3 linked regions of the Stegostoma tigrinum genome follow. The protein of the gene in region 1 purifies or fractionates together with the protein of each later gene. This does not show direct contact. Links are inferred from orthologs where the notes say so. Each region holds a gene or a part of one and is shown on either strand. Other genes may lie near its edges.

What was found. Proteins that work in one complex are often made in the same cells at the same time.
Region 2: the proteins of hscb (region 1) and iscua purify together in Homo sapiens (affinity purification with western blotting; 3 studies listed by BioGRID and IntAct, with this or other methods). This does not show direct contact. The link is inferred for Stegostoma tigrinum from reciprocal best matches to the Homo sapiens genes HSCB and ISCU.
Region 3: the proteins of hscb (region 1) and sdhb purify together in Homo sapiens (co-immunoprecipitation; 3 studies listed by BioGRID and IntAct, with this or other methods). This does not show direct contact. The link is inferred for Stegostoma tigrinum from reciprocal best matches to the Homo sapiens genes HSCB and SDHB.

Annotation. Positions count from the first base shown.
Region 1 is NC_081355.1:6,552,316-6,562,346, reverse strand, and holds hscb (iron-sulfur cluster co-chaperone protein HscB), read left to right. Parts: upstream 1-6,017; 5' UTR 6,018-6,025; coding exon 6,026-6,832; downstream 6,833-10,031. Other genes in the region: protein asteroid homolog 1-like, read left to right, coding at 9,450-10,031.
Region 2 is NC_081379.1:29,047,871-29,059,256, reverse strand, and holds the start of iscua (iron-sulfur cluster assembly enzyme ISCU, mitochondrial), read left to right. Parts: upstream 1-6,651; 5' UTR 6,652-6,735; coding exon 6,736-6,819; intron 6,820-9,133; coding exon 9,134-9,247; intron 9,248-11,333; coding exon 11,334-11,386. Other genes in the region: sart3 (squamous cell carcinoma antigen recognized by T-cells 3), read right to left, coding at 1,050-1,234, 2,560-2,664, 2,965-3,091, 5,984-6,127.
Region 3 is NC_081381.1:32,413,691-32,425,217, reverse strand, and holds the start of sdhb (succinate dehydrogenase [ubiquinone] iron-sulfur subunit, mitochondrial), read left to right. Parts: upstream 1-6,792; 5' UTR 6,793-6,816; coding exon 6,817-6,909; intron 6,910-7,937; coding exon 7,938-8,083; intron 8,084-8,953; coding exon 8,954-9,039; intron 9,040-10,568; coding exon 10,569-10,705; intron 10,706-11,527. UniProt on the Homo sapiens protein: Iron-sulfur protein (IP) subunit of the succinate dehydrogenase complex (mitochondrial respiratory chain complex II), responsible for transferring electrons from succinate to ubiquinone (coenzyme Q).

The sequences.
Region 1 (10,031 bases):
ATCCAACCCATTTCATCGCCAACTAATCGTATATCTCTCTGCGCAGTTGTCTTGTCAGCGCTGTTTTAAAATTTGAAATTTGCCTTTTCTCGCCTGGGATTCAAGAATTTTACTGTTTCTTTGAGGAGAACAGAAAGTTCTGCAGATTTTTTATCTTTCAACTGAACTTTTTAAACTTTACTTCTTAACTGATCCGCGAGAACGAGGTCCTTTCGTTTCAATTGCTTGGCTAACTGAGACATACAACGTCAGACAAGAAGACCGTCTGCAAACTTTGCAACACTGCCAGGTTTCTGCAGGCTAACAGCGAACTTGGCTCTCCGGACCGGCTAAGCACCACAGGCTACAGCCTTCAGTCTCAACATTACGATAATACTGTCATTCCGCTATTTTATTAGAACAGGAAGTGCTGGGCAGATTTGAAAACATCGATGCAGAGAGAAAAAAAGAGTTCAATTTTCAGGTTAATTTCCTTTCAGCATATTCATGGGAAATCATTGAGTAAATATTCTCAGGAGGCTTTTTTTTGCATATGAGAAATAATTGTTTTCTTTATTTATGTTTCTGTTCTGTGACACTTTGGTGGGCATCATGCTATCTTCTCAGATGCACGGGACAGTCGCTAAACTTTGTTTTTTTAGGGTGATCCAGTTTCAGTATCTCAGACTTGGGGTGATAGGGTGGAGGAGGCGGGGCTGGCAGATGTTTATCATGATGGGGATTGTATAAACTGCTGGGTTCTTTTAAAACATACACCTACCTCTTCACAAGCTAATTTTGCAGCTACAATCTATACTTAAAGATGACCATTAGGCCCTGCCCACCAATAGGTGAATAAACTGGAGGACTAAAAGACACGTTGCAGCTACCAGAAATCAGTTTGAGCTCTATGTCCTTAAAGCTCGCATCCCCAAATCACATTTACCACATAATTTGAGAAACATATGAACACAGAAATTAGGAGCAGAAGTAGGCCATTTAACCCTTTCAGCCTGCCCCACTGTTTAATAGAATCATATGTGATCTGATATTAATCTATGAACAAGCTGGGGGTTATCATATGACCATAAGATCATGAGTAACAAGAACAGGAGAAGGTTGTTCAGCTCCTCAAACCTGCTCTGCCAGTCAATAGGATCATAGCTGATCTGACGGTCCTCAAGTCCACGTTGTTCCATTTTGCAGAATTGACCAGAAACTCAACTGGAGTTGGCATATACATACAGTGGCTACAAAAGCAAGACAAACATCAAGAATACTGCGGTGACTATCTCATCTCCTGACTCCCCAAAACCTGTCCACGATCTACAGGGCACATGTTGGGAGTGTGATAGAATACTCCCCACATGCCTGGCTGAGTGCAGCTCCAACCATTCTCAAGAAGCTCAACATCCTCCAGGACAAAGCAGCCCACTTGCTTGGCATTGCATCCAGCCCCTCCACCACTAGCACTGTGGAGCAGTGGTAAAACTGATGAGACAAGTATGCAGAGAGACATAACTTTTAGATTGTGGTTGATAATTAAAGGAGTTGGATATTTACGATGCTAAATAATCTAGCAGCAGTATGGAGTATTTGAAGGATACACTTCAGAAATTCACCAAAGATCCTTAGACAGCACCTTCCAAGCCCACAGCCACTTCCACCTAAAAGGTTAAGGGAAGGAGATATGTAGGAACACCACCACCTGCAAGTTCCCATCCAACCTACTCACCATCCTAACTTGGAAATGTATCACTGTTCCTTAACTGCCTCCAGGTCAGAATCCTGGAATTCCCTTCCCAAAGTCTTACCTAAGACACATGGATTGCAGTGGTTCAAGGAGGCAACTCACCTTCTCGAGGGCAACCATAGGCCAGCCAGTGATGCTCATGTCCCATGAGTGAATAAAAAATTCCCAACAGCCTCTGATAACCTCTCACTCCCTTGTTCACCAAGAATTTATCTACCTGTGCCTTAAAGCTGTTCAGAGACACTGCTCACAGAATCTTTTAACGAAGAGTTGCAAAGACTGACAACCCTCAAAGAGCAAACATTTTTCTTCATCTTTGTCTTAAATGGGCAACCCCTAGTTTTTACATGGTGACCCCTCCTAGTTCTAGATTTACCCATAAAAGGAAATATCCTTTCCACATCCACCCTGTCAAAACTTCTCAGGATGTTATATTTTACAATTACTCTTACTCTTCTAAACTCCAATGCATAAATGCTAGCCTGTCCAACATTCGCTCAAAAAACAACCCACCTAGAATGTTCCATGTTGCTTACCAGATAATGGCCAAATCACTGCATCACAGGCTTTTATTTTCAGCAATTATTCTTGATTACCAAGGCAATGAAAGATTACTAGGGGTATGCATGAGTGTAGAGTTGAGGTCAAAAGCAGATCTGCCATGATCTTAGAACATAGAAGAGTACAACATAGTACAGGCCCTTCAGCCCACAATGCTGTGCCGACCTATTGTCCTACTAAGATCGTATTGAATGGTGAAGCAACTCAAAAGACTGAGTATCCTACTGCTTTTCCTTGTAAACATGTTTGCAATATTCTTTTACGAGGCCTTCTGGAAATCTAATGCAGCCCATCGATCGGTTGCACTTTACCCACAGCACACATTACTCCTTTAAAGATCTCCTATAAATTAGTTAAACATGATTCCTCTTTCATGAAAACATGTTCTCTCTGTTGATTATCTTGGTGTTTTCTAAATGTCCTGCTATAACATCTTTTAGAACACCTTCTTACATCTTCACTCTTAAGATGATAAGATAACAGGCCTGTAATTTCCTCAGTAGCCACTTCTTTTAAGGCTAGGATGAGGTGTGCCATGACTAGAGATGTGTTAGCATGCAGTTCCAACATTTTGCTCACTATCATTTCCCTAGTGATAGTAATTATGTTTATTTCCTTCCTTCTTCCATCTTCTGATTTGCCACCATTTCTGGGAATCTGTTTTTATCCTCGGTAGTGAAGACCAATGCAAAATATCTGTTCAATTAACCTATCATTTCCTTATTTTCTACTTTTAATACCACAGACCCGCTTTCTATAGGATCAACATTCATGTTGTTAACTCTTTTTATGTCTAAATATTTGCATCTATTCTTAATATCTCTTTTATAATTATAGCTATCTTTCTCTCTTGTCACTTTCCCCTCCTTATTAATCTTTTAGTCATTCTTTGTTGTTTATATTCTGTCCAATCTTCTGATCTTTCCCCCATCTTTCTTTAAGTTTGATACTTTCTTTGACTTTTTTAACTCTCCTCCCCTTGGAATTTTTCACACTCATGGGGTAAAGCTACGCTGTGTATTCTGAAATATTCCCTTAAATATGTTGGATGGACTATGAAGGATGAAGTAATGGGAGCTTGTCAGAAAAGTCAGGTGATAATCATTATATAACAATCTACATAAAGATTAGAAAAGTCAGATGTATAACTGTAGTCCAGGAGTTCATAGAATGTTTTGAGGACAGTTACTTAGAACAAAGAGCAGGCTATAGTGTCTCACTAGATCCCTATTGACTTATCCCTTAACCTAATTTGCCAGTTCATTTTATCTAGATCTGTGTTCATGTCCTTATAATTGCCCTTATTTAGTTTAAAATACTAGTCTTAGACCCTTTCATCTCCCCCCTCAAACTGAATGCAAAATTCATTCACATTATGAGTGCTGCGACCTGCAGACATTTCACAATGAGGTCTTTAGTTAATTTTATCTCATTGCAAATACCAGGTTGAGTATTACAGGCTGTCTGGATTGCTTCAGAATATGCTGTTACAGAGTCAAAGGGGATACATTTCCATGCCATTCAGTTTTCACAATTAAACTAGTCCCATTTGCCTGCGTTTGGTCCATATCACTCCATATTTTTTCCATCCATGTATTTTCCTAAATGTTTTTTAAATGATGAAAATTGTATTTGCTTCCACTACTACATATGGCAGCTGTTCCAAATGCTCACTATCCTCTGTGTGCAAAACCTGCCCCTCTGGACCCTTCTCACCTTAAACCTATTCCCTAGTAGTAGTTTTAGATTCAACTACCATGGGGTAAAGCTGTTGCCTATCTACCTTTAATAAGTCTCTCATGATTTTATAGGCCTTTATAAGTTCGCCCCTCATTCTCTTATACACCAGGAAAAAACATACCAGACTATCCAACCTCTCCATATAACTCAAACCTTTTGGTCCAGGTAGCATCCAAGTAAATCTTTTCCCATCTGATTTTCTACTCCATTCTATTGTGTGGTTACTGATAGGGGTCTTGTACACAACTCCCATACATAACTTCTTGCCTTTAACGTCTATCATTTCGGCTCAAACCACTTTCTATGTGTTGATTTCTTAAATGCAGACTATCCATCTCAGTTGTGCTATTACCATCATTAATTTATAGTATCTCCCTTCTACATTTCCTAACTCCTTGTTCTTCCAGAATGTCCTATAATATTTAATATTCAGGTTGCAATCTGTGTCACCTTGCAACCATCTGTATAACGGCTATCAGATTTTATTTATTTCTACTTGCGCTATCGATTCATCCATTTTGTGACAAATATGTCATGCATTCATATGGTACAGTACATACAGTACCCTCACAGCACCAGGGACCCAGATTTGATTCCACTCTCGAGCTAATGTCTGTGTGGGGTTTGTATCCATGTCTGCATGCGTTTCCTCTGGGTGCTGTGATTTCCTCCTACAGTCCAAAGAAAGGTTCGGTGAATTGGCTATGCTAAATTGCTGCATAGTGTCCAGGGATCTGCAGGCTAGGTGGTTAGCCATGGAGAAAGCAGGGTTACAGCAGTAAGATGGAAGGGTGGGCTGTTCTTCAAAGGAGTGCTGTGGACTTGATGAGCCAAATGGACTGTTTCCACACTCTAGGGATTTTATGATTCAGATGCGGAGTCTTTAGTTTTCTCCTTTTGCCATTTTTATAACCTTATCTGTCGAATTACTGTGAGACACCCACTCGTAATCACTTCCTGTCATGGTCTGTTTTGTCATTTCCCATGTTAATACTTTTCTCTCTTGCCTTGTCTTTACTGATACTCCATCTTCCCAAATTTGATGACTGTGCTAAAATAAGTCTCCAGACTTCAAATTTGAATCACTTTAGATCAGGAAGCTGAGAAGTGGAGAGTGGGGAATGATTCTTTTTGTTGGTGGCGGGGGGGAAAGTACTATATTTTTAGTTTTAGAACAAGATACACTCATCTCAAAAAAACATTAAACCCCTCAAACGAGCCAATTGCTAAGCATTGACAAAGTTTAATAGACAAAAGGAATGGTGGTAAAGAAACAAAAAAGTGAAGAAAAAATGCAAAATGTTAAACATATCATTTATTTTAAAAAATAATCCAAAAAAACCCCATGGAGAGTGAGATATGTGTGTGGGAAGGGTTAAAGAAGAAGAGGTGAAGGGCGTGAGGTATGACAAGGGTGAAAGGATATTGAAAGGGAAGGGAAGAAGATGGGAAAGGAGAAGAATGGATCAGAGGGGGATCAGTTCTGAGGAAGGGTCACCAGATCCGAAATGTTAACTTGGTTTTCTCCTTCACAGATGCTGCCAGACCTGCTGAACTTTTCCAGCAACTTTGTATTTGGATCAGAGGGGGAGAGAGAATTAAGTGAAGTGGAGAAAGGTGGAAGGGGCACGTGGAAGCTGGGGTTGACAGGTAAAGGAAGTGGAGAAAAGTTTGGGAGATGAAAAGGGGAGGATGAGAGGAGTGGGGAAGGGGGAGAGAAGGCAAATGATAGGCAGAAAGGGGCTGAGGGAAGGTGGGAAGGGAAGAGAGAGGGAATTGTGAGGATGAAGGAAGATGTGGGAGTGGAGGGAAGGGGTTTGGGAGGATTGGGGAGGATGAAGAGGAGAAAATAGGAATTGGGAAAGAGAAGGAGCAAAGTTTGAGAAAATGCAGAACGGAAGGTGAGGTCAATTGAGGGATAGATTCCGGAAATGACGTAGAGGAGTGGTGTAAGTGACGTTTCAGCGTGTTGCTGATTGGCTGGTTTGAACGATGTTGTGCAGGCTGTTGTGGCGCGTGGCTCCAACTGTCACCTTCAAGGTGGGGGCCCACTCCTTCGCCCCCGGGACTCAGCTCCCCGTCCCGGCCCGGGGCCTTAGGCAGCCCCCTCGGGCCGCAGCCTGTCTGCTCCTCGCCGCCGGCCGCCGCGCTTTCTGCAGCGGGGCAAGCGGCTGCTGGCGGTGCGGGGCTGAGCGGGCCGGGGCGGCGGCGGCGGAGGAGGACGGCGGCTCGGCCTTTTTCTGCCCGTCCTGCCGGGCCCTGCAGCCCCCGGACCCGCGCCGCGACTACTTCCAGCTGCTGGGCCTCCCGCGCCGCTACCGCCTGCAGACCGAGCAGCTGCGGCGGAGGCTGCGCCATCTCCAGAGGGATCTGCACCCAGACAACTTCAGCCGCGGCTCCGAGGACGAGCGCCGCTTCTCGGAGGAGCAGTCGGCGTTAGTCAACGAGGCTTACGGGACTCTGCTGAGGCCTCTGTCCCGGGGCCTGTACCTCCTGCGGCTGGAGTTACCGGGGGAAGCCGGCGTCGGCGAGGAGGTGGAGAGCGGGCCGGCCGGCGGTGGGGATCCCGCCTTCCTGGCTGCCGTCCTGCACCTCAACGAGCGGCTGGAGGAGGCCCGGGGCCCGGAGGAGATCGAGCAGGTGTCCAAGGAAGTGGAGGCCCGGCTCCGGGAGCTGGACGAGGAGGTGGCCGGGGCCTTCGAAGCGGGACGCCCGCGGGAAGCTCTCCCGCTCCTGAAGCAGATGCGATATTGGAGTAGCCTCGGGGATCGGATAAAGGAGCGTCTGCTTCCCCGTTGAGAGCCTCCCGGGGTACGGTATCGCTTTCTGAAATTAAACCCTAAGGAACCCTTGACCCGTCTTCGCCAGTCACAACTCTTTCCGCATCTGGGCCCAATACACTCTCAGTTACTGCCTTAATATCTCTGTTTCCAGGCCTTGGTATCCCTTACGTGTTGCCCACGATTGCAAAAGGGATGTGTATGAGGTACTACAGTAGTCTTAAAAAAAAAGTGTGGGGTTTTGGTCTCCTTACTCAAGGCAGCGATAGTCATAGAACTGTATTACAGCACAGGAACAGGCCGGACACGACGCCAAATTCAACTGATCCCTTTCTGCCCGCCCTTGGTCCATATGCCTCCATTCCTTGCATAGTTATGTGCTTATTCTAAAGTGCCTCAAAACACCCTAATCATATGTCTCCACCAACACCCCTGGCAGCACGTTTCATACTCCTCCCACTCTTGTATTTTTAAAAGTAAAACTTGCTCCTGACAACTCCTTTGAACTTCCCCATCTCACCTCAAATGCATGCGCGTTTCAAGACTAGGGCAGATTCTGACCATCAACCCTACGAATGCATCTTATAACTTCGTAGACTTTTATCCGGTCTCTTCTCAGCCTCCACTGCTCCAGAGAAAACAACCTGATTTTTTTTCTACCCTCACCTTATAGCTCATACTTGCTAAACCAGGCACCCTTTCCAAGACCCCACATCCTTTCTGTAGTATGATGATGAGAATTGAAAGCAATACTCATAAGTGTGGCTGAACCAAAGTTTTATAAAGCTGTAACATGGCATCCTAACTCTTATACGGGTCCCTAAAGCTGTGAGGCAGTAGTGTTAACCACTGTACCACTCATGGAGGAATCTAGAACTGGGACTGAGTTTCAAAGCAAGGCATAAAACATTTTTTTCTGAGGATTGTTAGTGTTTGGAATGCTACTCCCCTAATGATCAATGGAGGTTTGCTCCTTTAGTTTATTCCAAGAGTAAGTTAAATAGATTTTTGAACAACTGAGCAGAGGACTCGGGTAATAGGCTGGAAAGTAGAATTAAAGAACTAAAGTCTCATGCCTCCATCAATTCTCCATATTCAAATGCATTTCATTCAACTAATACAAGCCCAATATATGTAATCTCTCCATGTAATTTCCCCTGGGTAATTGTCCAGTCAATATTCACTATGTTCCTTTCAAATCCAGTGTATCCTTTTGAAAATGTAGGACCATGAGCTGGACACAGTCTTAAAGATGTGTAACCAACAATGTTAATTGCAATTAAAACGTGAAATTCTCAAATATCAGAATTACAAATCATATATCACAAAACTACATATTTCAACCCTACCACTTGTGAAGTAAGGCATATTTAAATTCTGACATGGCTTTGTCTTTGTAAATTGTTTTCACCTCAGTTGTTTCTGATGCTCTGTTGAGTTTCTGTATCAGTGTCTGATATACTTAATTAGCCAATCTTGATATGTCTGCAGTAAAAGATTCCACAAATTGATCGTCTGAGAGAAAATAAAACTCCTCTTCAGCTCGGTTTTAAATGGGCAACTTCTTTCAACTGTATCTTTTTGAACTATGGAATCCTGACAGTGTGGAAGCAGACAATTTGGCCCATCACATACACACTGAACCTCCAAAGGCCATCCACCCCAGACTCGTACCCTTGCCCAAACTCTGTAACTTGGCATTTCCCATGGCTAATCCATTAGCCTGTGTCTCCCTGGACAGTATGGGGCAGTTTAGCATTGCCAGTTCACCTAACCTGCAAACCTTTTGGACTGTAGAAGGAAACCCATGTAGACAGAGGGCGAATCACTCGAGACATGTAGATCCATGATCACAATGCCTACTGTAACCCATTACAATGAATGAGCTCTCCAGGTATGATCAGGCAATCTATACTGTTATGTATGGCACCATATGGTGGGGCTGAGGTAGACAGGAGTGGTTGCTTTCATGGGAAAAGTGGATATAGTAACATTTTCTTCATTTGTTTAGTCACTGAACTTCATATGAAATTTGACCAATTATGTTACTGATAAAATACACATCTTGCAGTCACCAGGACATTTTCAAGAATGCAAGGGGAAATAACATTTTATACTGTGAGAAGAGAGTTAATTGAATAGCCTGTGGATTCTGGTAGAGGCATTACAGTGGACAGTGCACCAGTTCAGTGATGACTAATAATTAACTATCAAGCTTTGTTTAAAACAGGGCAGATGACTCTTGATTTTTGTTTTAAATTAATTCAGGGGATGTGAGCTTTGGTTGGGCCAGCATTTTATGTTCTTCCTCTAAGTGCCCTTGAGTAGTTTGTGGTGTTACTTGACTGACTGGCTCAGGCATTGTTCTAGGGGATGAGCCAGGTAATGGCTGTTAGTTTTTTAAAACTTGAAACAGATGAGTATGTTGAGTGCAAGATAAAAAGCTTGGGGGGGGGGGGGGGGTGGACACCAAGACTGATGTGTCATTCTAACGAATTACTATATGCATTATTATAGTGAATTTATTCAGTTGTTGAATTAGATTTTGTACCACATAACAATGCTCAGATATGACCTACCAATCCAACCTAACTCCTTGTATTCATTACTCAGGGTGAAGCTTGTTGCTGTCTAACATGGGTGTCCATGGATTGATGACCTACATTGGAGAAAATCATAATTTTTTTAATAATGTCAAGATACAAAATACAAGAATTGTGATCGATGGCAATAGCTTATTTCATAGACTTTACTTTGATTCTGGTCTCGATCTTCAGTATGGAGGTGAATATGATTTGTTGACTGACATCATCTGCAAATTTTTTGAGGCCTTGTCTGTCTGTAATATTGGGCCATATGTGGTGTTTGATGGTGGATGCGATTGCACCGATAAGAAGTTCGAAACTCTCAAACAGCGGGCCAGGGAAAAAATCCAAAAAGCACGTGTCATCTCGAGAGGTGGTGGAGGAATGCTGCTACCGCTGCTGAGCCCTGAAGTTTTTAAACAAGTTTTACTGCAGTTGCAAATACCTTTCGTCCAATGTCATTCAGAAGCAGACCGTGATATTGTAACTCTCGCTAATCAGTGGGCCTGCCCTGTTGTGTCGTTAGACAGCGATTTCTGTATCTTTGATTTGAAGGCTGGTTATTGTCCTCTCAATTACTTTAAGTGGCAAAACATAATTACTCCAAATGACCATTCTGGATCCTACATTTTG
Region 2 (11,386 bases), on another chromosome or scaffold:
ATTGACTATCAATCCAGAGATTCAGACTAATGCTCCAGAGATATGGGTTCAATTCCCATCAGAACAGCTGATGGGACTTAACTCAATTAATAAATCAGAAGTATAAGATTCTGTCACCAATACTCAGACTAGGGTATCATTAAAACCTTCACTGATTGTTGTAATAACTTTCTGATTCTGTAAGGTTCTTTGTGGAAGGAAATCTGTTCTTTCCTAATTTGGCTTATATTTGACTCTAGATCCACGACAATGTGATTGACTTATAGCTGCCTTCTGAAACGGTGCAATAAGGCACTCAGTTCAAGGGCGACTAAAGACAGGCAGTAAACGCTGACACCTACATCCCATGAAGCAATACAAGAGAAAACCACTGTAACATGGACAAAGTATCTGTACAAGCATCCAAATAAAAAAATTTCATGCCATTCTCTCCACGTAAGTAGATATCACAAACAGACTGGTAAGTTCAGCCGAAAGTTCACCAATGGCAAAAACAAGGTACAGTGCTGCCGTGAGCTTGTGAAGACTGTTTCATCTTTGAGACCCAAATGAAAATCCAGTACAGGTACTGGGGTACAGGACTCCTTTCTATTAGCTAAAAATTAGATTGAATCATCTCAATCTCGTTTCTAATTAGAAAGTATCGGCAAAATAATAATCAAGAATGTGTCAATAAAATCTCACTTTCAGACTGAGAATAACAACTGTCTCAAACAAATTTGTTGCACTGCCACAATTTGATTTATAGTCAAACTGTATAGTTCAAATCAGATTTGGAAATACAAATTGGAAATCATTCCATTCCCTGGTACTGAATTCCCATGGCCAAAACCAACATATTCTCACCGTGTACATTAGGTGGAGAAACCCAAATTTAAGTAGGGTTCAATGAATGAATAAATAGCAAGAAAGAAATGTATATAATCTCAAATATTCTACCGTACCAGCCAATTATTTCTCGTCGGTTTGCATTTTGCTTCATGCACCAAATTGTTGACAAACTTATCATTCATTCACATTAAATTAAACTGGATTTCAGATTCTCTTACCTGTAAGGTTCCTAAAATAGCATTTTCAAATTCTCTAAAGGCTTCCCAGATTGCTACTCCTTTTGTCATATGTAATCCAGCAGCAGTTAAAGCTCGATCAAATATTGCACGAGCTCGCTCAATACCACCCTGCTGACCAATCCCACCGATGGAGTACTGAGCATATTCCAGCCATATCTCAGGACCTGTAATGAAAATTATTTATTAACATTAGTGTGCATCAAAACAGAATTAAAATAATTCATGATTTTTAAAACCAACTCTTCATGTCAGCATCCGATAATAACTTGAGGACTTCTGCATTAATGTGTTGCAAACTCAGCAAACCTAGTGAGTGAATGCGTGCACACGAGAGAGAGAAAGTCGCCGTCAGCATCAGACATCACTTAACTTCACAACAGTAGTAAAACACATTCCCAATGGATGTGGACATAGCAAGGCCTGCAGATGCTAAAGTCAGAGCTAACACAGTGTAAAGCTGAAGGTACACAGCAGAAAATTTTCTGAAGAAAGGTCCTGACCCAATACGTCAACTTTCCTGCTCCTCCGAAGGTGTCTGGCCTGCTGTGTTCCTCCAACTTCACACCGTGGAACTCTTATTCTTGACAGACTTGACTCTGCTGTGGAACAATCTGTATGTCATATTCTATTAGACTCAAAAATTATGTTGTGGGTTAACAGACCATAAATGCTTGTTCACTTACTTCTACTTTTAGAAGAAATGTTAACCCAATTATTCTAAAAAAATTAACACCCTACTAAAATACACCAGAGGGTAACCATTAGCAAACTTAAACACTTTTATCCCATGATATTATTTTCAAGGTCTACGTGGTCATTCATTTTTAAGTCCTGGTGGTTTCCTAACGGAGTTAACAAAGTCCACTGCATTGTGGAGCTGATCGAAATTCTGCTTTCTATCCAGCAGAGAGTGTTTTCTTATCATATAAAATCTTTAGGAATCAATTCACAAAGCTATCTTTGCAGCTTCAACAGCTGAGTGCCAACTACCTGGATACCACCAGTATTTGAAGCTCCTGAAATTGGGCCAGCTTAAACACCTGAACGAACAACAGGGAACATGACCATCACTGTTTTCAATTGTTTCAAATATGGGGAGCTTCATCATGCTGTGGTGCTAGATCATCACTTACAGTTAAGTTAATTACTCAATTTTTGTCTGCTTGGGTTTTTAAATTGCCTAGTCATCAGCGTTGATTTAAAGCTGAGGGTATTTGCAAATGAGAAGAACTAACTTTCAAGATTTCATTATTTGAAATTACATATACTTTTAGTCTTTTGATACATTCACAAATTAATAAACAAAGTCTCTTTCCTCCTTCCCACTTCAATTCACTGGGGGAGCTAGAAAGATTAACACTTTGCCCAGCCAACAGCTACGTTCTACCTGAAGCAGAACAGTGGGGGATATGTTTGTATTCATCAAAGAAAGCTGTGATTACTCAATGTTAAGAGTCAGGCAAACACTAAAGTGTAAAAAAGAGCTTACAAATATAATCTTTGATGGCCTTCTCAAACAGTTCATACACTTTCTCCCTGTCAGTTGATCCCTCTGCCATTAGAATCTCATCCTTTAGCCAGTCCAGCCAAAGCTCTGAAAAACAGAATTGGATTGGTTTCCTCAATATAACTGAGAACAGAACCTTCACAAACAGAACTAGTCAGGATTACGAGAGCTGTGGCTTTAAGGTTGCCATGTCAATAACAGAATGTTCACATGATCAGTTTCGAAGAAACAGGAGAAATTTTTAAAAAAACAGCCAAAATCTTGTGGAAAGTGGATTAATTCAAACTTTTATCAGGATGCTGGTCATAAACATATTACAAAGTCTGATCTGCATTACATTATCAGGTTTCAGCTGGTGTTGCAATTGTCTAACAAGGATAGTCTTACCTTCTGTAAGAGGGAACAGTTCACTCATCTTCTGTCGAGCAGCTCGTAACTTCTCCAGCTCCCCCTCCTGACGCAGCAATTTTATTAGATCGACATGACAGTTGTAATCATAGGCACTTATGGAAAGCTAAAATAAATGGCACAGATTACTGCTGTCCTCATGCCAGTGATTAATATTAGAATACATCTGTCATTTTATTAAACTTTCTAATAGCCAATTGGTTATCAATAAGTCTGCTTCTCAATTTTTAAACTTGTCATTCACATCAGACAAAAATGGGCGTCTATTTAGTCTATGGCAAACCTTGACAACTGTGTTAATGCCACAAAATAAAAACATCAAGCTTCCTGGCCAATGACATAACAAGCATAAAGCCATATGAAACTCAGAAGTAAAATGTTTTAAACAGATAAACAGAGGGTTTAAAAATACCCTTTCATCATCACTTAGTGTGAAATGATACACTATTTTACATTGTTGCATAGAGGACTGCTCTACCATGAAAACCACAATATTCTTCTGTAAAAGTGCAGCCTTATTGCTTTGAGGGCAGCAAGTCTCTGTAAACATGGGAACAAATCGGAGGTAAGATTGACTCTTCAGTGTCTTTTTTCTTCCTACTGAATAATTTTATTTATAATAAATCAGATTTCAGTATTTCACTGAGCATGAAGTACTTCAGTCCACAGAATTGTGGTAATTTCCATAATTGAACATAGTCGCCCAAGTGGAATAAAGTACTTCCACTGCCATAAACGGTATACAATATAAAGAATCGCATTACTGTTCTCCAGAATCTCACTCAGTTTACATATGGAAACTGCTGAGAAAGTTGTTTACATGGAGATATAGCTGGGACACAATACAGCTTCCAGAGCTAAACCGTTCTTAGACGTCCGTGATATCCAACAATTTTCAAATAAATGACCTCACTTGAGATGTTGACGGTGAATCCTGACAGTTTATCTTACACTTTCACTATGTTTGAGTATGATGATCTCATTGCACTGGTGAGAGTTATAAACAGCTTACGTCTGTAATTTGCTAGCAAGAGAACTGACTTAAATATCACACTCATTAAACTGGCCCATCACAACTGGCACTTAAATTTTTCACAATAGCATTGGAAAGGATAAGCAGCAGATTCTTGAGGAACCACAGTGTCCCAAATTTCTGAGATGTGACTTTAGTCTAGATCAAGACTAATTAAAGTTTAGTAATGATCATAGAGTCTTGAGAAATTTAGAAAAAATAGGAGTAGAATTAGGCCAAGATAACAAAATGTGTAGCTGGATGAACACAGCAGGCCCAAGCAGCATCTCAGGAGCACAAAAGCTGACGTTTCGGGCCTAGACCCTTCATCAGAGAGGCTCTCTGTGAAGGGTCTAGGCCCGAAACGTCAGCTTTTGTGCTCCTGAGATGCTGCTTGGCCTGCTGTGTTCATGCAGTTTACACACTTTGTTATCTTGGATTCTCCAGCATCAGCAGTTCCCTTTTACCTCTGAGTATAATTAGGCCATTCAGTCCTTCAAGTCTGATCTGCTTTTCAATATAATAAGAACATATAAGACATAGGAGCAGAAATTAGGCCATTCGGCCCATCGAGTCTGCTCTACCATTCAATCACGGCTGATAATTTCCTCAGCTCCACTCACCTGCTTTCTCCCCGAACCCTTGATCCCCTTGATAATTAAGAACCTATCTATCTCCGTCTTAAATGGACTCAATTACCTAGCAATCATCAATAATGATCATCCTACTCAGTAGTCTGTTCCCACCTTCTCTCCAAACCCTATGATTCTTTAGCCCCAAGAGCTATATCTAACTCCATTTTGAAAACATTCAATGTCTTATCTCTAACAGCTTTCTGTAACAGATAATTCCACAAGCTCACCAGTCTGCATGAGACATTTCTTATCTCAGTCCCTAATGGCATTCTCATATTCCTAAATCGTGACCTCTAGTTTGGATTCCTTTTATCAGAACTATCCTTCCTGCATAAAGCCTGTCTAGTCCTGTCATAATTTTATAGGTTTCTACAAGATTCCAACCTCATACTTGTAAACTCCAATGAAGATTGTCCTAACAAAGCCTTCGTATATCAGTCTTGCTGTCCCGGTGTCAGCCTCGTAAACCTTTGTTGCACTATCTCCAAAGCTGGAACACTATTCCTCAGGTAACAAGATAAAAACTGAACACAATACTCTAGCTTCGCTCTCAGCAAGGCCCAGTACAATTTCAACAAGACATCTTTGTTCCTGCAGTAGGATCCTCTCACTAAGGCGGCCACCTGCTTTCTTCACTGCTACATGTGTATGCTCACTTTCACTGACTTGTGTACAAGGTCACCCATGTCTCTTGGACCTACTCCTTTTCCAGTTACCATTTAGATAATAATCTGCCTTCCTGTTTTTGCTACCAAAGTGGATAATTGCATATATATCCATTATACTCCATAGCTGGATCCAAGCACTAATCCCTGTGGTAACTTACTAGTCACTGGCTGCCAGTGAGATTTATTGTGAGTCAAGGCATATGCTTCAAGTCATTTGGATTTTATTGGTCATGACTTTATCATACATACATAGCTAGAAATTGGGCCATTCATTCAACTCAGCGTGAACCTGAGTACTATGCCCCAGAAAATTATATTTTCTCTCCGTAGATGACCTCAGGCATTTTGCCTTTCTCTTGGCTCTTCGAAGGATTAGTCCTGACTACGTGGTTTTCAAGTGATTTTTCAGATGTTTGTTTTACTTCGGCAATGACGGAAATGTTTTGGTTTACTTATTTCACAACAGTGAACAGGCCAGGCGGACAGGAGTCAGCAGGAGGTCGGAGGAATGGGAGAGGGAACTTCGGGGTGAGTGGGGAGGGGTCGAGAGTGCGTGGTAGAGGTGGGATGAGGGCGAAAGGGCTGGGAGAGTAAGTGGGACTGGGACGGGGCTGGGGGAAGGGGGAGCTCGTGCTGAAGTTTTAAATCCCGCGGGCTCACTCCCGCCCGCCATCACGTCGCACCTGCTCTTCCAAACGCTGGATTTCCGCCTCGTTTTCTTGCTCGTCCTCCGAAGAGTCTTCCATTTCTTCCTCCGAGTCGCCCCCGGTTCCAACCTCCAATTCCTCAGCCTCACTCGACCGTCGCCTCCCGATAGTCGCCATCATGCGCAGCAGTGCGGGAAAGGCCGAGACGCCCGATCAAATAGAACACTTCACATCCTGAGAAACACAACTACTTCTTATAGAACAATTCCTTATTTTAATAGAAGCTTCAGTTTGAAGTACAATTCCACGCATTACAGCGGGAGCTGTTTTAAACAGAAATTTTCGGGAGAATATGGGACAAATGGATGTAATATTTACAACATAACAACGCGACATGTGGGCTTTAATGAAACTGACGATTGCATATGACGAAAGCGGGGTACGAATTGTCACCATATTGGTAAGGCCGCGATGCAGAGCGCGTCGCGATGTTTTGTTTACCTTCCAGAGCGGTTTTCAGTTGGTAACGCAACCACGCAAGGGGCGTGCCCAGCCAGCCACATGGTCACGTAAGGGGCGTGGTAAACAAAACAACATAGGGACACGTTTGTTAGTGGCGCGTTGCTCACTCGTCAATGCGTCCCGTGGGGAGGGCGTGGTCAGTGCATGACATAACCACGCGGGGGCGTGGTCAGTCTTACGTAACAGCACTTGTTGGAGGGGGTGTCAGTGTTGGTGACGTCGGGCGGTGAAGTAGGAGGTTGTGACGCACTCGGCTATTGGTAGTGATGGCGGCGGTTATAATTACTGGTTCTCTCTCGCGGCTTGTGCTGAAGGCTCGGGCACCCCTCGTCGCTGCTTATCACAAAAAGGTAACTGCGCTTGGGAATGGTAGCAGCCTTTACTCTGCGCCTGGTCCCGAGGCTGTCCACGTTGGGGTGGGCCAGGGGAGTCCGCAAATTCCCACTGTAGTGAATGTAATTTAATCTAATCTATTCAAAACGGCAGGTAGGAGGCTGTTAGCTAATGAGAGCACCGTCTGGTGATGAGGGTGATCTTACATATGCCGTGTGGCATGAGCGTTTCTAACACTTAGTCTCTAAGGATACAAAAAGTGTTGTGGCTGCAGTTAAGAGGGTGTGCAGGGGAAAGTGGAGTGGTGGGTAAAGAAGGAATGCCTGTAAAAGTAAAGCAGAATGGCTACTAGAAACGTGAAACAGAGTGAGAAAATGCTGGCAAAACACAGCAAGTCTGGCACCGTCCGTCGAACGAGAAAGTTTTCTCAATGCCTCCGGTCCATTATAACCGAATCAGCGTGTGTACCACGCTGTAGACAAATGGGATGTTGGAGTGAGTGTGACAGATGGCGAGGATACCAGAACAGAAGGCAAAAGAGTGTATTAACGGTGCCAAAGAAGACATTGAGACTTGAAAGAGGTGCGCAAAGAAGAAAATGCGTCTGCTCTGCTGACAGCAAAGTTGACAAGATGCAAAGTGCCAGAGTTTGGGTGGTGTGCTGTAATCGAAACAGAGGAAAGATGGCATGCCCTGGAGGGATTGAACTCAATGTTGTGGAGGCTGTTGCTTTTTGGAATGGGAATTGAGATGCTGTTCCTCCAGCTTGTGCTAAGGTTTGATGGAACACTGCAGCTAGCCTAGGACAAAAATGCTCAATGACAGCGAGATAGTTGAAATAGCAAGCAACTGGGACATAATTCATTCTTACAAAGTGAAGGTATTCTGCAAGCCATTTGTCTGTTTTGTGTTTGGCCTCAACAATGTGAGTAGCAAGTGATAGATTACATGCAAAGTAGTACAAGCAAACTACTTCCTCACCTGGAATGTGTACTTAGGGCTGTGAACAGTGAGGAGGTCAAGTGATATGTAATCTCTAATTGTATAGAAATATGCCATAGAGGTGAGGAAGTGTCAGAAGTGAAGTAGAGAAATAGATCAGGGTGTCTCAGAGAATCAGTAGTGGGGAATGGAAAAATGTTTGGTATTGTGGTTGAAGGAAAAAAAACATTTCAAAGGCAACCCTGTCAACACTTGATGGAGAAACTTGGAAAATGGAATGCTGTCCTTGTACAAGGAAGTGTAGCCAAGCATTTTGGGTTTTCTGAAGAAGGGGTCTAGACCCAAAATGTCAGCTTTGCTGCTTGGCTTGCTGTGTTCATCCAACTGTACACTTTGTTATCTGAGATTCTTCAGCATCAGTTCCAAATACAACTGTCTAGAGTTGATGGGTTTGTAGTGGATACTGGTGGGCACCCTATCCCCAGAAATGGGAATAGAAGACCAGGAAGAGTCAGAAGTGGACCTCGTGGAAGTGAAAAGGATAGAAATTGAGGGATTGTATATTCATTGTGAAGGGGTGGCAGCTAGGGCCAAAAAAAACAAATTGTGGAGCCAATGTAAAGCATCAGAAGAGTCACGTGTATATGGGAAGAAAGTGAATAAGAGGAAAATAAGAAATATGTGGATCAGCGAGAAGACTGAAATTGTGGATCTGTCCAAGCAGCCTATTTTGTGGATTTTGGGAAGAAGGTTGTAGCAGGCTGTGCAGGGTTGGGGATAATGAGGTGGGAAGTAGTAATGGGGATAGGTCCCAACATCATCTGTGGAAACCTATGATTAGCGATGGGGTCGTAGTCCAGATGGAAAGGGTGGAGGGGGTGTGGCGGCAGCGTGAGCGTGTGGTGTTGAGGAGAGGCAGGGGGCATGGGCATGTGGTGTTGAGGAGAAGCAGGGGGTGTAGGCATGCAGTGGTGATGAGAGGAAGTTGTAATTGAATTTATAAAGTATTTTGGGCAGCAGTGCTGTACAGCTGGTGAAATATTCTTCATGTCTAGTCCAGATTGTATGCAATGCAACAGCCAATTTGCACATTACAAATAAAACTTCAGCAAAGAGCTGTATGGTCTTATGACCAAATTATCTCTGGATAGATTCTGACCAGAACTGTGGAGGTAATGCGGTGGAATCTTTTCCACCCACCTGATAGGGCAGACTGATGTCTTTCAAATGACGACAGTTCCGACAGCGCTGCGTTCTGTCGGTCCTGAACTAGACTATAGGCTTGGTCTTTCTTTGTGCTTAATGAAACTTGAACACAGTTTTGAAATCAGAAGCTAGAGTTCTATTGAGTCATCATGACTTGCACTATTGTATTTCCTTCTACCGTAGGTAGTGGACCACTATGAGAATCCCAGAAATGTTGGATCCTTGGATAAGAATGCAAAAAATGTTGGAACTGGCCTGGTTGGTGCACCGGCTTGTGGTGATGTCATGAAACTACAGGTAAAGTTTTTTGAGGTGATCCAGGATATGGGTAGCAATGTATTTAAATGTAACATTATCAATTGAGCCATTATGTCCCTTTTTAATTTATTTAGCAAAGTTGAAGGGCTGCGTATAATGGTTCAGTTTGCTTCCCAAAGGTAAGATATGGGTCACCATTTCAGAGAGCTCTTTGGATGAATGAGCTGTTCTCAGTCCAGCAGTTGGCTTCAGTGCCATAGTTAGATGAATTAAATTTAGAGCTCAACTTTTGATCAGTGATCCAGAGAAGTTTGCGTTTAAACGTAGCATGTTCTTCAAACCTGTAAAGCTATTAATGTCTATGGAGCCATCTCCTCAAGCATTGGCACGTTCAAGTGAGGGGAGACAGACAGACAGAAAACTGAATAGCATAGCACACCAGAAATCATGCATATTTTTTTTAAAAGTTCCCCAAACTTAATAGGGTATTTCTAGAAGTATAAACTTCCTACGAAGGGAAAGCTGGTTTCCATACTAACATCCAATAATAGCTACAGCTAATAGAAACTTGTACTGTCCTAGGAGATATAAAATGAACATAGTTGTTGAATTACCTGTATCCTGGTTGCTTGGATCCAGTGATATCTCAAAACAAATCGCTAACAGTTTGTCGTCAAATGGTTTGGAGAATTTGCAGATTGACTGAGTTGTAGCTGACATGATATTGACAGAAGTGAGCACCTACAAAGGTCTGACTCGGGATTGTCCAACTTTTTCTTGAGTAATCAGATTTCAAATTCTTTTCTCTCTCAAGGACTGAATGCATATTTCAGAAAGATATGATTTGGCACAACATGAAACATACTTAGACATTGAAAAAAAATTAAAGTAATTATAATTCAAACAGAAAAAACTAAGTGGCAATCTAAGTACCAAGCAGCAGAAGGAACCAACTAAACCTGAGCTGGAGGCAGACAGAATCCCTAATTCTCAATCATCGCAGTGGATCGAAACTGATTTAGGTTTAACTAAAACTGACCTTGTTTTTGCTTCTGCCAAGTACTGAGCTGATGTTGGCAGAATTCATGTGAAGCAGGGGCTTGAAAGTGTGCTGTTTAAGTCTGAGACTTTTTTATTCCTCTAGTCTTGTGAATAGCTTTTTATAAAGCAGGGAGGAAACTTGTACATGTATCCAGCTCCCCATCTAGGAATTCTCATTCTCTTGTATGCCAATGCAAACATGTACTCCCTCTCAGTTCCTCAGTCCTTCCCACCCACTGTTGATTGTCCTGGCCCCCACTTTGAGCCTTGCCCTAAGCTATTATACCATGGGGTTGGAATTTGGGGATGCCTGTGAAAATGATAGGACTCATGTCCTATTCTGCAGAGCCTTGGACTCTACCAGCCCAAGTAAGTGTGCGCTGTTGCTGAAACTCTATTCCCTTGTAACCTCAAAAGCACACTTTTCTATCTTGACTCCTGTGTCCTTTAATAGGGCTAACATCTCAGCAATAGGCTGAGTGTATAGTACCAAGGACGGTGATGAAGTGAGAGCGCTTGGGCCGAATGTGGAATGTATGTCAGCAACATTGGGTGCGTATGGAGAGAGTGAGCTTATGACCCATGGGCTGACATGGATGTGCTTATATACATGCATATATTTCAGAGAAGGTTTGCTTTTTTCTAGTCAGAATTGCATTCTTAGTGTTTGGCTTCATTGAACACTTAACCAGAGCGTGGTTCCTTCATGAACTTCAATCCTGTTTCATCTTGTTTGACTGAAGTTCCTCAGTATTTTTTAGTGATCTGCCACTTCCTAATTATGCTGCACATATTTCTAGCCAATTTGTCCTGAAAGATCAGGATCACATTGAGAGCAAATGGTAACTCCTCCTCCTGCCCCCCCCCCCCCCCCCCCCGACTCTCTCTTTGGAGGATATGACCAGCCTGTTGCATTGTCCTGTGGAAACTGGAAGGACGTGTGTGGCTGCTGTTTCTCCTCTGTCATCTAGTAGTTTCAGTTTGGATTATGCTGCAATTCTGCCTGGTTAATAATCAAATGATGTCAATTTTGTGATAGATTATAACTGTTACAACTTGTTTGCATTTTGACTATCTTCTGTAGATTGAAGTGGATGAAAATGGGAAAATTATTGATGCAAGATTTAAAACATTTGG
Region 3 (11,527 bases), on another chromosome or scaffold:
TGATTCTCCACTGGGACTAACAGGCCTGCTGAGTATTTCTAGCAACGACATGTTTATATCAGGTTTCCGGCTTTTGCTCTGGGTTTATGACCCTGAGAGATGACAATGAAAACGGACATGTATATGTTGTAGTTTGCAAATCCATAAGAGATATTTTTAACCAGCCTGTTCAGAGATGTTATTACACACCTTTGGAGCAGGTGGCACTTGAACTCTGGTCTCCTGGCTCAGAGTTAGGGACATTACCACTTCGGTACATTTATCCTTGCAAACGCAGATCCCCAATGGGGTCACTGCCCCTTTAAGAGTTATGAAACGAAGCGGACGGCGTAAAGCGCAAGCGTCATTCGGCAGATTTCTTTTGTTGACACTCGCCGGTCGCCTTACATAACCGGGAGTGCCGGTTTCGTCTTCGGATTCTGTCCTTTCGCCCGAAGCCGGTTTCACTTTGTGGGAATACAGCGTTGGCGTTTGCGACTCGCTTACGGATCGGTTTGTTGTATTTCTTCAGACTCCCCCGGAAGATGGCGGCGATGTGCCTGAGGCGTAGCGGGGCCTGGGGTCAGTGGCGGGCGCTCCGTCTCCAGGTGAGGGAGGGTGGCGGCGCGAGCGGTATCCACTGAGGGAATGACATCTGACCTTGGTGCCGGGTCCTCGCGCAGCCCCCGCCCGCACCGCACGAGGAAGTGGCGGTTGGTGCGCGCGGCCTCAATGTGGTGGCCGCTGTGTAAAGGTCATCGGCGGCGGCATCGAAATCGTGGCGACCTGGTCAGAGTTAGGGTTTATTCCTATGATTTAGGTACTTGAAACCCCAAGGCTGACAGTCCAGTGCAGTGCTGGGGAAGTGCAGCACGGTCAGATGTGTCGTCTTTTGGATAAGACGTTGAGATCGTAGCTGCCTGACTTGTTAAAGGTACTACGGCACTATTATGAAAACTAAAAACAGCAGTGTCCGGTCAATCTCTCTTCCTCAATCGGCGTCACAATAATCAAAATATAATCTAATTGTTAACGACATTGTAACTCCTTAGAATATATATAGGCGGAATACGCAGAAGGGCTTAGACCATGAGACATTGGAGCAGATTAGGCTATTCCGCCCATCGATTCCTCTCTGCCATTCGATCATGGCTGATTTGTTTCTCAACCCCATTCTCCTGCTTTTCTCCCTTGACCACCTTACCGGTCAAGAACTTATCTATCTATTTTAAACACCCTCAATGAATTGGCCTCCACAGTTCTCTGCAATAATGACTTCCACAGATTAATCACCCACAGGTGGAGGGAAGCCCTCCTCGTCTCAATTCTAAAGGATCGTATGTTTACTCCAGAGGTCAGGTCATAGTCTGTTCAACTAGTGGAAACATCTTCTCCATGTCCAGTCTGTCCACGTCATTCTGTATTCTTTGAGTTCTGGTTGAAACTTACCCATTCTATTAACTTTCGAGTACAGACCCAGCTCCTTGTATGTCAAGCCTGTCATCCCTGGGATCATTGTCATACACCTCGTGTGGACACCCTCCCATGCCAGCACATCCCTTCCTTAGAAACACAGGCTTAAACTAGTCAGATTAGTCCAAATGCTGCATGACCAGAGCCTTCAATTGGGTCAGCAGTACATTTCTTTTCTAGCCCTCTTGAAATGAATGCCAATATTGCATTTGCATTCCTAACTGACAACTGAACCTGCATTTTAATGTTAAGCATTGTAGTTCAGGATTTTCCTCCGGTTTCTGAAGCCTTTCCCTATTTAGAAAATAGCCTATGCTTTTATCTTTCCTGTCAAATTGCATAACCTCAACTTTCTGACATTGTATTTAAATCTGCTGCTTCTTTGACCACTCTCCTAGCCTGTCCAAGCCCTGCTACAGCCACCCCGCTTCCTTATCATTACTTGTCCCTCCAGATATCTTTGTGTTATCTGCAAACCTACCAACAATGCCATCCGTTCCCTTGTTCAGCTTGTTAATGTACAGCAGTCTTTGTTTTAACTGGAACCTTATGAACTGGCACTTTGGATAAACTGGCAAAAATTATATGCTCAAATACTGAAAGTTTATTTATTATCATGATGTCTGAATAGCCATTTGAGGACACGAGTGAGAAGGTTGCTAGTAAGTTTTATTTAAGGCAAAGTTATTATTATTTAAGTGATTTATGCTGTAAATAAAGAATAACAGTGGTGTGTATACTCCCTGCATTGCATTTCCATTAGCTAGTGTGTGCTTTTATATTTATTGCGTGGATCTCTTGATCAAATATTCCAGTTGAGCCACTACTGCCGGTTAATTAAAAGGTTGCTGTATAATGTTGTGGTCCCAACCTGGGCCCCTGCAGAACTCCACTAGTTACTGGCTGACATCCTGAAAAAGACACCTTTATCCGAACTGTCTGCCTTCTGCCAGTCAGCCAATCATCTATCCACACTAGTACCTTGCCCCTAACACACAGGCACTTATCTTGTTTAGCAGCCACCTATGCAGCACCTTGTCAAAAGCTTGCTGGCAATCCAAATAGATCATATCCAAAGGCTGTCCTTTGTCTAACTGCTCCTTACTTCTCAAAGAATTCTAACAGATTTGTCAGGCATGACCTCCCCTTGTCAAAGTTGTACTGACTTAGCCCAATTTTACATGCATTTCCAAGTCAGGAATCTTATCATCAGCAATATCATCTTTTGTACTGGATTCTCAGATCTTCTCAGTGGCTGAGATCAGGCTAACTGCCAATGCTTTCCTGTTGTTTGCTTCCTTTCTTAAACATAGGAATTACATTAACCATTTTCCAGTACTTTGAGAGTCTCCCTGGCTGCAGTGATTCCTGAATGATCACCACAAATGCCACTGCAATCTCCTTCAGATCTCTGGGGTGTAGTCTATCTGGTCCAGATGATTTATCAACCTTGCAGCTTCCTCAGTATTTTCTCCTTGGTGGTGACTACTAAACTCACTTGGGTACTGACTCTTGAAGTTTTGGTATGCCACTGGTTTCTTCCCTGATCAAAACTGATGCAAAGTATCTGTTCACTTCCTCCACCATTTCTTTGTTCCCCATTACCACTTCTCTGGCCTCATTTGCCAGGTCTCCACTTTCCACTCTTGTCTCTTACAGTTTAGATTTCTAAAACAAATTCTTGTAATCTTACTCTCATATTTCATCTTCTCTTGCCTCCTTCCTGCCACCCCCATATTGCTTTTACAGTTGGCTCTGCTGGTTTTTAAAAGTCCCCCCAATCATGTTCATCTAATTGTGTACTTTTTGTTTTGCTTTTAATCTGTCCCTGATGTCTCTTGTCAGCCATAGTTGCCTTGTCCTCCCCTTAGTCCTTTTCTTCCTTGGGATGAATTTTTGCTATGTCTCCCAAATTACTACCAGAAACTCCTGCCCTTGCTGCTCTGCTGTCTACCCTACTCGACTGCCCTTCCAATCAACTCCAGCCAGCTCCTCCCTCATCTCTATAGTTATCTATACTCAATTGTAATACAATTATGTCTGATTCCAGCTTCTCCTCCTCAAACTGCAGGGTGAATTCTATCATATAATGGTCACTACCTCCCCAGGAGTTCCTTACCTTTAGCTCCTAAATCAAGTTTGCCTCATTACACATAACCAAATCCAGAATTGCCTGCTCCATAGTAGGCTGTACCACAAGTTGCTCCAAAAAAAATCTCATAGACGTTCCTGGAATTCCTTTTCTTGAGATCTGCCACCAATCTGATTTTTTTTTCCAGTCCACCTGCACACAAGTTCCCTGTGATTATTATAATACAGTTTTTCTTACATGTCTTTTCCATCTTCTGATTTATTTTCTTCCCCACATCCTGACTGCTAGCAGCCCTGTACGTGACTCCTTTCAGCTGGGGTGAGAGTGGGGCGTTCCTTTTGTATTTCCTCACTCTACTACCCAGATCTATGACGCTTCTTGCTATTGATTTTGATTTTATTTGTTACTAACAAGGCAACCTCGCCCCATCTGCCTGCCCTTTCGATAGTGCCATGTACCTTTGGATATTTAGTTCCCAGCCCTGACTACCTTGCATCCCTGTGATACCCACAACAATGTCCTGCCAATTTTGATTGCACTCTTGAGTTCATTTAGATTATTTTGTATGCTGTGTGCATTTAAGTTGGCACCCTCAGTCCTGAGTTGACTGCCTCCCTCTCATAGTTGTCCCCTCACCTGCTGTGCCCAAAATTAAGATTCCTGACTCTTTCCATACACCGTCCTGATGCACATTTTGGAAACTGTAATAACCTCTGCTGAGACCCCCTCCCGCCTTCCAACTTTTAACTCTTTCCATAATTTTCCATCCAACTGAACCCATCCCCCCCACTATTTAAAACCTTATTAATAGCCCTAACTATGCAATTTGCCAGCAGAGCCAACTCTAGTTGTTGCTGGAAAGTACTACATGCATGGTTTAGAGTGACAGTCTTCTCTTGTTGCCTTATCGTGGATCTGCTAAACGTTATCACAAATTTCATGACAAAATATAAGAATCTTGAATTCCTCTTTGAAAGTGGCAAGCTCATTGAATTATTGAGCTAGAATATGATTTTAAGCAGCTGGATATGCACAGCATGAATTGCCTAATTCTTCCCACCCCACCCTGTCCTGAAGAACAGTCACAGGATTCAAACTGTTAACACTCCTCTTTCTCTTCGCATAATGCTGTTGGACTTGCTGAGTTCCTCCAGTAATCTGTTATTGTACCACCAATTTAAAGCCCCCCGAAACTTTCCTCATCGGTCATTGAATGAGACGGCCACCATCAAATTTGTACCCACGTTTTCTGTTAACGGAATCGGACCCATTAGTCCAACTCATGCATGCTGACCAATTTACCCAAACTAAACTAGCCCCACTTGCCTGTATTTGACCATATCCCTCTTAACCTTCCCAATTTGTGCACCTGTCCAAATGTCTTTTAAATGGATGTGAGTTTGCTCGCTGGGCTGGAAGGTTCGTTTTCAGACGTTTCATCACCATTCTAGGTAACATCATCAGTGAGCCTCCAATGAAGCGCTGGTGTTATGTCCCGCTTTCTGTTTATCTGGTTAGGTTTCCTTGGGATAAATAGAATCTTCCTTGGGATTAACCAGATAAATAGAAAGCGGGACATAACACCAGCGCTTCGTCGGAGGCTCACTGATGATGTTACCTAGAATGGTGATGAAACGTCTGAAAACAAACCTTCCAGCTCAGCGAGCAAACTCACATCCAGAACCTCAACCTGAGCTGCGAATCTTCTCAAAACTCGCTGTCTTTTAAATGTTGTTACTCTACCTGCATCTTCCACTTCCTGTGGCAGTTTACTCCAGATGCAAACCACTGTCTGTGTGGAAAAAGTTGCCCCTCAGGTCCCTTTTAAATCTTCCTCCTCTCTCCTTGAAAATATGTTTCCTAGTTTCAAATTCCCTCACCCTACGAAAAAAAACTTTTGCTATTCACCTTGTCTATGCCCATCGTGATTTTATAAACTTCTATCATGTTACCCCTAATCTCTACGCTCCAGTGAAAAATGGCATAACATATTCAGTCTGTCCTTTATAACTCAAATCCTCCAGACCCAGCATCATCCTGGTAAATATTTTCTGCACCCTCTCCAATTTAATAATACCCTTCTTATAGCAGGGTGACCAGAACTGTACACAGTACTCAAGTGGCCTCACCAACATCTTGTACAAAACACATGACATCCCTGTACCCAGTGGTCTGAGCAAGGAAGGCAAGCATGCGAAACGCCGTCTTAACTACCTGTGATGCAACTCAGAATTATCTACCTGAACCCCTAGGTTTTTGTTCAACAACACTACCCAGGACCCTACCATTAACTGTATAAGTCCAGCCCTTCTTCGTTTTACCAAAATGCAAAACCTTGTATTTATGCAAATTAAAACCCACCTCCACTGCTCAACTCTTTTGGTGCAATGGATCAAAATCCCTTTTGTAATCTTAGAAAACCTTCTTCACTGTTGACTATCCCATCCAATTTTGGTGTTATCTGCAAACTTTCTAACTCTGCCTCAAATTCTCATCCCAAATCATTCATACTAATGACAGACAACAGTAAACCCAGCACTGAGTCCTGTGAAACACCGCTAGTCACAGGCCTCCAGTGCAAAAAAAAAAGCCCTCCTCCACCACCCCCTCTCTCCTAATATCAAGCAAATTTTCTATCTAGTTGTCAAGCTGTCCTTGAATCCCAAGTGTTCCAACTTTACTAATCGGTCTACTCTGCAAAACCTAGTTAGTAAAGTTCACATAGACAACATCCACTGCACTGTTGTGATCAATCTTTTTGGTTATGCCCACAAAAACCTTAATCAAATTTGTGAGACACAATTTCCCAAGCACAAAGCTACGCTGACTATCCCTAGTCAGTCCTTGCCTCTCCAAACACATGTAAATGCGATTTCTCAGGATCCCCTCCAACATTTACCGATGTCAGACTTACAGCTATGTAGTTCCCAGGCTTCTCATGTTTGTTGTCAATCACACAGCTGAAGGAGTTCTATATATCCAGCCCCTTATTGCAACATGAATGAAAGGTCTCCGGTAATGACTGCTCCTCTTGGGCATTGCCAGCTGCTGCCCCAAGCTTTAATGCCTCCCTTAGGACGTAGCTCTGGACTTTGGAATGAGCCAAATTGCAGAGGACAATTTTTTTGAATTGGAAGACCAATGCATTTCGGGCAGACTAAAGAGCTTCTTTCACCGAGTCAGTGATCCTCCAAGTGCTATTGATGTTCTTGGTGTACATTCCAGAGAACAGTCTGTGGAGCACTGGGTCTTTCATTGTGGAGCTGGTTAGGATGAACCTCAAAAGCAGCCAAATCTCCATCCGATCACACCTTCTACTGTGTACAGTTCTGATCATACCTAAGGAAGAATATACTTGCCTGAGAGTGAGTACACTGAAATTTCTTACATGAGGGAATTGTCCTAAGGAGTAATTAAGTAATAGACCTCTGTGGCCTAATGTTTAGAAGGGTGAGAGTTATATAAATGTAACACAAAAGGGACTTGATGGTGTATATGCTGGGAGGATAGTTCCCTTTGTGAGGTGGCCAGAACCAGGAGTGATAGTCTCAGAGTAAGGAATTAGCCATTTAGGATTGAGATAAAGGAGAAATTATCCACTCTTGGCATTATTATTCTTTTTAACTCTCTACTGCAGATGTCCAATCACTGAGGTATTCAAGACAGTTTGATCCATTTTTTTGGTATTCTGGGACTTGGATGGATGGTGCTGGAAGGTGGAGCAGAGATAGATCGGCCATGATCTTACTGAAGCTGGCACAGAGACCCAGCAGCCTACTGCTATTTATATTTCATAAATTTCTCAAACCAAAAACAATGCTTTACTGACAATGCCTGTGTCTCTGTCCTTGACTGGCTCCTTGGGCTGAGCGGGAAACGTAAAGCCTTGCAGATTACTTGACTTTTATGATCTTGGGGCTATCTAGTTATTGTAACCTATTGGTTAAACCATTCCTTTGAGTGAATGCTACCCATATAATTGTGTTTAAAAAGCAACTTCAATAAAATTCATTTAAAATGATTTTCTGAAGAAGGGTCCTAACCCAAACATCAGCTTTCCTGCTCCTCTGATGCTGCCTGGCCTGCTATGTTGCTCCAGCTTTGGCAGTTCTTACTATCTCTCAATAAAATTCGTTATTCTTTTATAAAAATGTAGCTAGTCTGATACACAAATGATCACAAAATCTCCCCATCTAATTAATTAGAGTATTTTTTGTAGTCCTTGTTCCTGTGATATTAGCGACTTGTCATATCTCTGTTACCCATCTAGACGAATCTTTTTGGATACATTTTTTCCATTGTGAACTTTGACTTGGTGTACAAGGGAAATTTGATTGTGTATCGTTTGGAATACGATTCATGGATTGATCATTGGCTTTCTGTTCCCTTGCAGTCATCTCGCAGCTCACAGGCAGCGGCAGCTACTGCTCCTGCAGCACAAGCAGTGTCTCGCCTTAAAAAGTTTGCGATTTACAGGTGGAATCCAGATAAGCCTGGTGACAAGCCTCGAATGCAAACCTATGAGATTGATCTAAATGCGTAAGTGTTCCAAGGGGAAATGCTACAGGGTATGCATTTGATCGCACTGGTCAGACTTTTACTGATTTAAATTTTACTGCAGTATGCCCTCTTTATTATAGTACTACTTCGGATAGAAGGATTTTGATTGATTGTTTTCAAGCAGAGGTAAAATGGTGAAGTGCAGTGATGAAATTGGAAAAGACCTGCTGACCTGTCAGGCCCACACCTCGGTAGTCCATAAGCACACTCTCCCAAGTGTAGTTAAACTTGGGAGTAAGATGAATGACCAGAGCAAAAACTACTAAGATCTCGAAACACTCTGGCTCCCCCGTGCCATTGGCAACACTTTGAGAAATGGGTCTAATATTACAGTCTATGTTCATTTCCTGATTATTTGTAATCTGGGAACTTTCCCCTCTTCCAGCAACAAAGGAGTAGCTGTCTTCCTTATAGTCCTTCTGTTTTACTTCTGTATTCACCTAAAAGTCTCATTACAGCAAAGATTGAACAGATGTTTTCTGGAAATGTATTCAGTGTGTGAAACTTTCTCAGTCCTACACCTGTCTATCTCTGGCATCTTCTACTTACTTCACCAAACAACTCTTGTGTTTCTGGCCTTTTACGATGTAAACTTTCAAATTTCCCTCCTGCAACATTGTTGACAATCCAACTCTTGCTCCTTTATTTAAGATGGACTTAAAACTTGGCTGTTTGAAGAATTGATCAGAATCCTAATATCTTCTTTGATTCAGACTTTGTGTTAGTCTGTTTAAGCTGCTGTGAAGTGCTTTGGGACTTGTAACTATACTAAAGATAATATACAAATACAATCTGCATTTGAGAGAATTGAAACTGATATTTCAAACTGTTGTGACACTACATATGTAGATGTGGTCCGATGGTACTAGACGCTCTTATCAAGATCAAGAATGAAGTGGACTCCACACTGACATTCCGAAGATCTTGCAGGGAAGGTGAGTGGTATTGTATATGAGTGATATAGTGACAGTGACAGATCAATGTCTGCATTTCTGATGAATCATTACAGTCTCGCATCTGTGAACATTAGTCAGGCATTAAGTGAGGTAAGAGTGTATATATCCAGATGTTTGTCCCATTTTTAAACTAGCCATCACTATAATTATGTGCCTAGATGTGGAGAGTGACAGAAAACCTTTTTATCACTGACCAGTAAATCTCAGACATTTGCAATGCCACTGTGGTGTCACCAGCTGTTTCAATGTTCCTTTGAAGGTTGTAGTTTCTTCTTGAAAGTATCCAAGCATGAATTGGTATTTATGACTGGCTTTTACTGTCACTGCCTATGCCTGCATCCACAAGGCTCAAATGTCCAATGAGTCTGCAACCAAGAATTTATTTTGTCGTTTCTTCATTGTTAGCCAGTGCTGTGGGATCACAACTGCTGGCTCTGTGACAGACGGACATGACCATCTTTGGAGTTTGTATGTCACTGAGAATCTATGACAATCATTTTATAAAGCAAAATTTTGAAAAATTGTAATCTATTATGTGCAAGGATTATGACACAGTCAAAATCAGACCTAGCTTATTGTCAAGCGAATTTAATGATGTCCATGTAATTTAAAAAAATGAAGGGTCACAGATCAGAGAAACTAAGGCAGCAACATTTTGGGAAAGGATGGTAATACTTTTCAAATGCTTGGAAGTGGGAAATGCTAGGATTGTGGAGGATCTTCTAAATTTGGCAACAGCATTAAATTCACCAGAATTTATTATTTATTTTGCTTTGACTCATCCAGCAGCTGGACATATTGAATGCTGGATGCTGTGTGTGTATGAAAGGCAACATTTTAAGATAACAGTCATGGACTACTTAGGACAGTTCTAAATTTGTAGGACATATTTGGGAGGTGAGAGGTGGATTGTCTCACAAGAAAAGGGGCAAGTGATTTGCACCAGGTTTGCTTGTGCTGGACGAGCACTTGTCTGCCAGATTGGCAATTTTTGCCTCTCTTAAACTGGCTCATGGAAACCTCTGTCGGAGACATTAAATCTAAATCACTGACAAATATTACTCATAATAAAGTGAAGCTGTGAGGTTCAAATTTTCAGTGTACCTCTTGGTGTGCAATACTCATTCAATCCAAAACATGTGTGATTAAAACAAAGTAGGCAGGTGACTGTCTGGTTTCCTCATTTGAGCCCTGCCGTTTGTCTTGTCTGGGACAGAGTGTTGAAATTCCATCCATTAGTCACTGCTGTAGTGGTCATGCTAATACTTGTGTTTCTGGGGTGAATTTAATGTTATCCAGCTTTACTATAATCTACTCCGTCCTTTTCCATTTCATAGTTTGATTTTCTTTAATGCAAATACTGATTAAACTTGCCAGTCACTCCTAGTGATTAATTAGAGTGACTGCTTGTACGTTTAATTTAAACTAAACAATACTGTGCATATTAGGAGTTTCTGTGAAAATAATCAAAAAACATGATCAACTGTACATAAATATTCTATTTTCAGGAATATGTGGTTCCTGTGCCATGAACATCAATGGCAGCAATACGTTGGCTTGCACCTGCAAAATTGACAGCAATCTTAGCAAAGTGACAAAGATTTACCCTCTACCTCATATGTACGTGGTGAAGGATCTTGTTCCAGTGAGTTCCCACTTTCCCCTTTTTGTTTATTGTCTCCGTATCCATGCAGGTGCATTCTGTACTTTTTGTTACATAGAACAGTACAGCACAGAACAGGCCCTTCAGCCCACAATGTTGTGCCGACCATTGATCCTCATGTATGCACCCTCAAATTTCTGTGACCATATGCATGTCCAGCAGTCTCTTAAATGTCCCCAATGACCTTGCTTCCACAACTGCTGCTGGCAACGCATTCCATGCTCTCACAACTCTGTGTAAAGAACCCGCCTCTGACATCCCCTCTATACTTTCCTCCAACCAGCTTAAAACTATGACCCCTCCTGTTAGCCTTTTCTGCCCTGGGAAATAGTCTCTGGCTATCAACTCTATCTATGCCTCTCATTATCTTGTATACTTCAATTAGGTCCCCTCTCCTCCTCCTTTTCTCCAATGAAAAAAGTCCGAGCTCAGTCAACCTCTCTTCATAAGATAAGCTCTCCAGTCCAGGCAGCATCCTGGTAAACCTCCTCTGAACCCTCTCCAAAGCATCCACATCTTTCCTATAATAGGGCGACCAGAACTGGACGCAGTATTCCAAGTGCGGTCTAACCAAAGTTTTATAGAGCTGCAACAAGATCTCACAACTCTTAAACTCAATCCCACTGTTAATGAAAGCCAAAACACCATAAGCTTTCTTAACAACCCTGTCCACTTGGGTGGCCATTTTAAGGGATCTATGTATCTGCACACCAAAATCCATCTGTTCCTCCACACTGCCAAGAATCCTATCCTGAATCCTATCCTTAATCCTGTACTCGGCTTTCAAATTCGACCTTCCAAAAT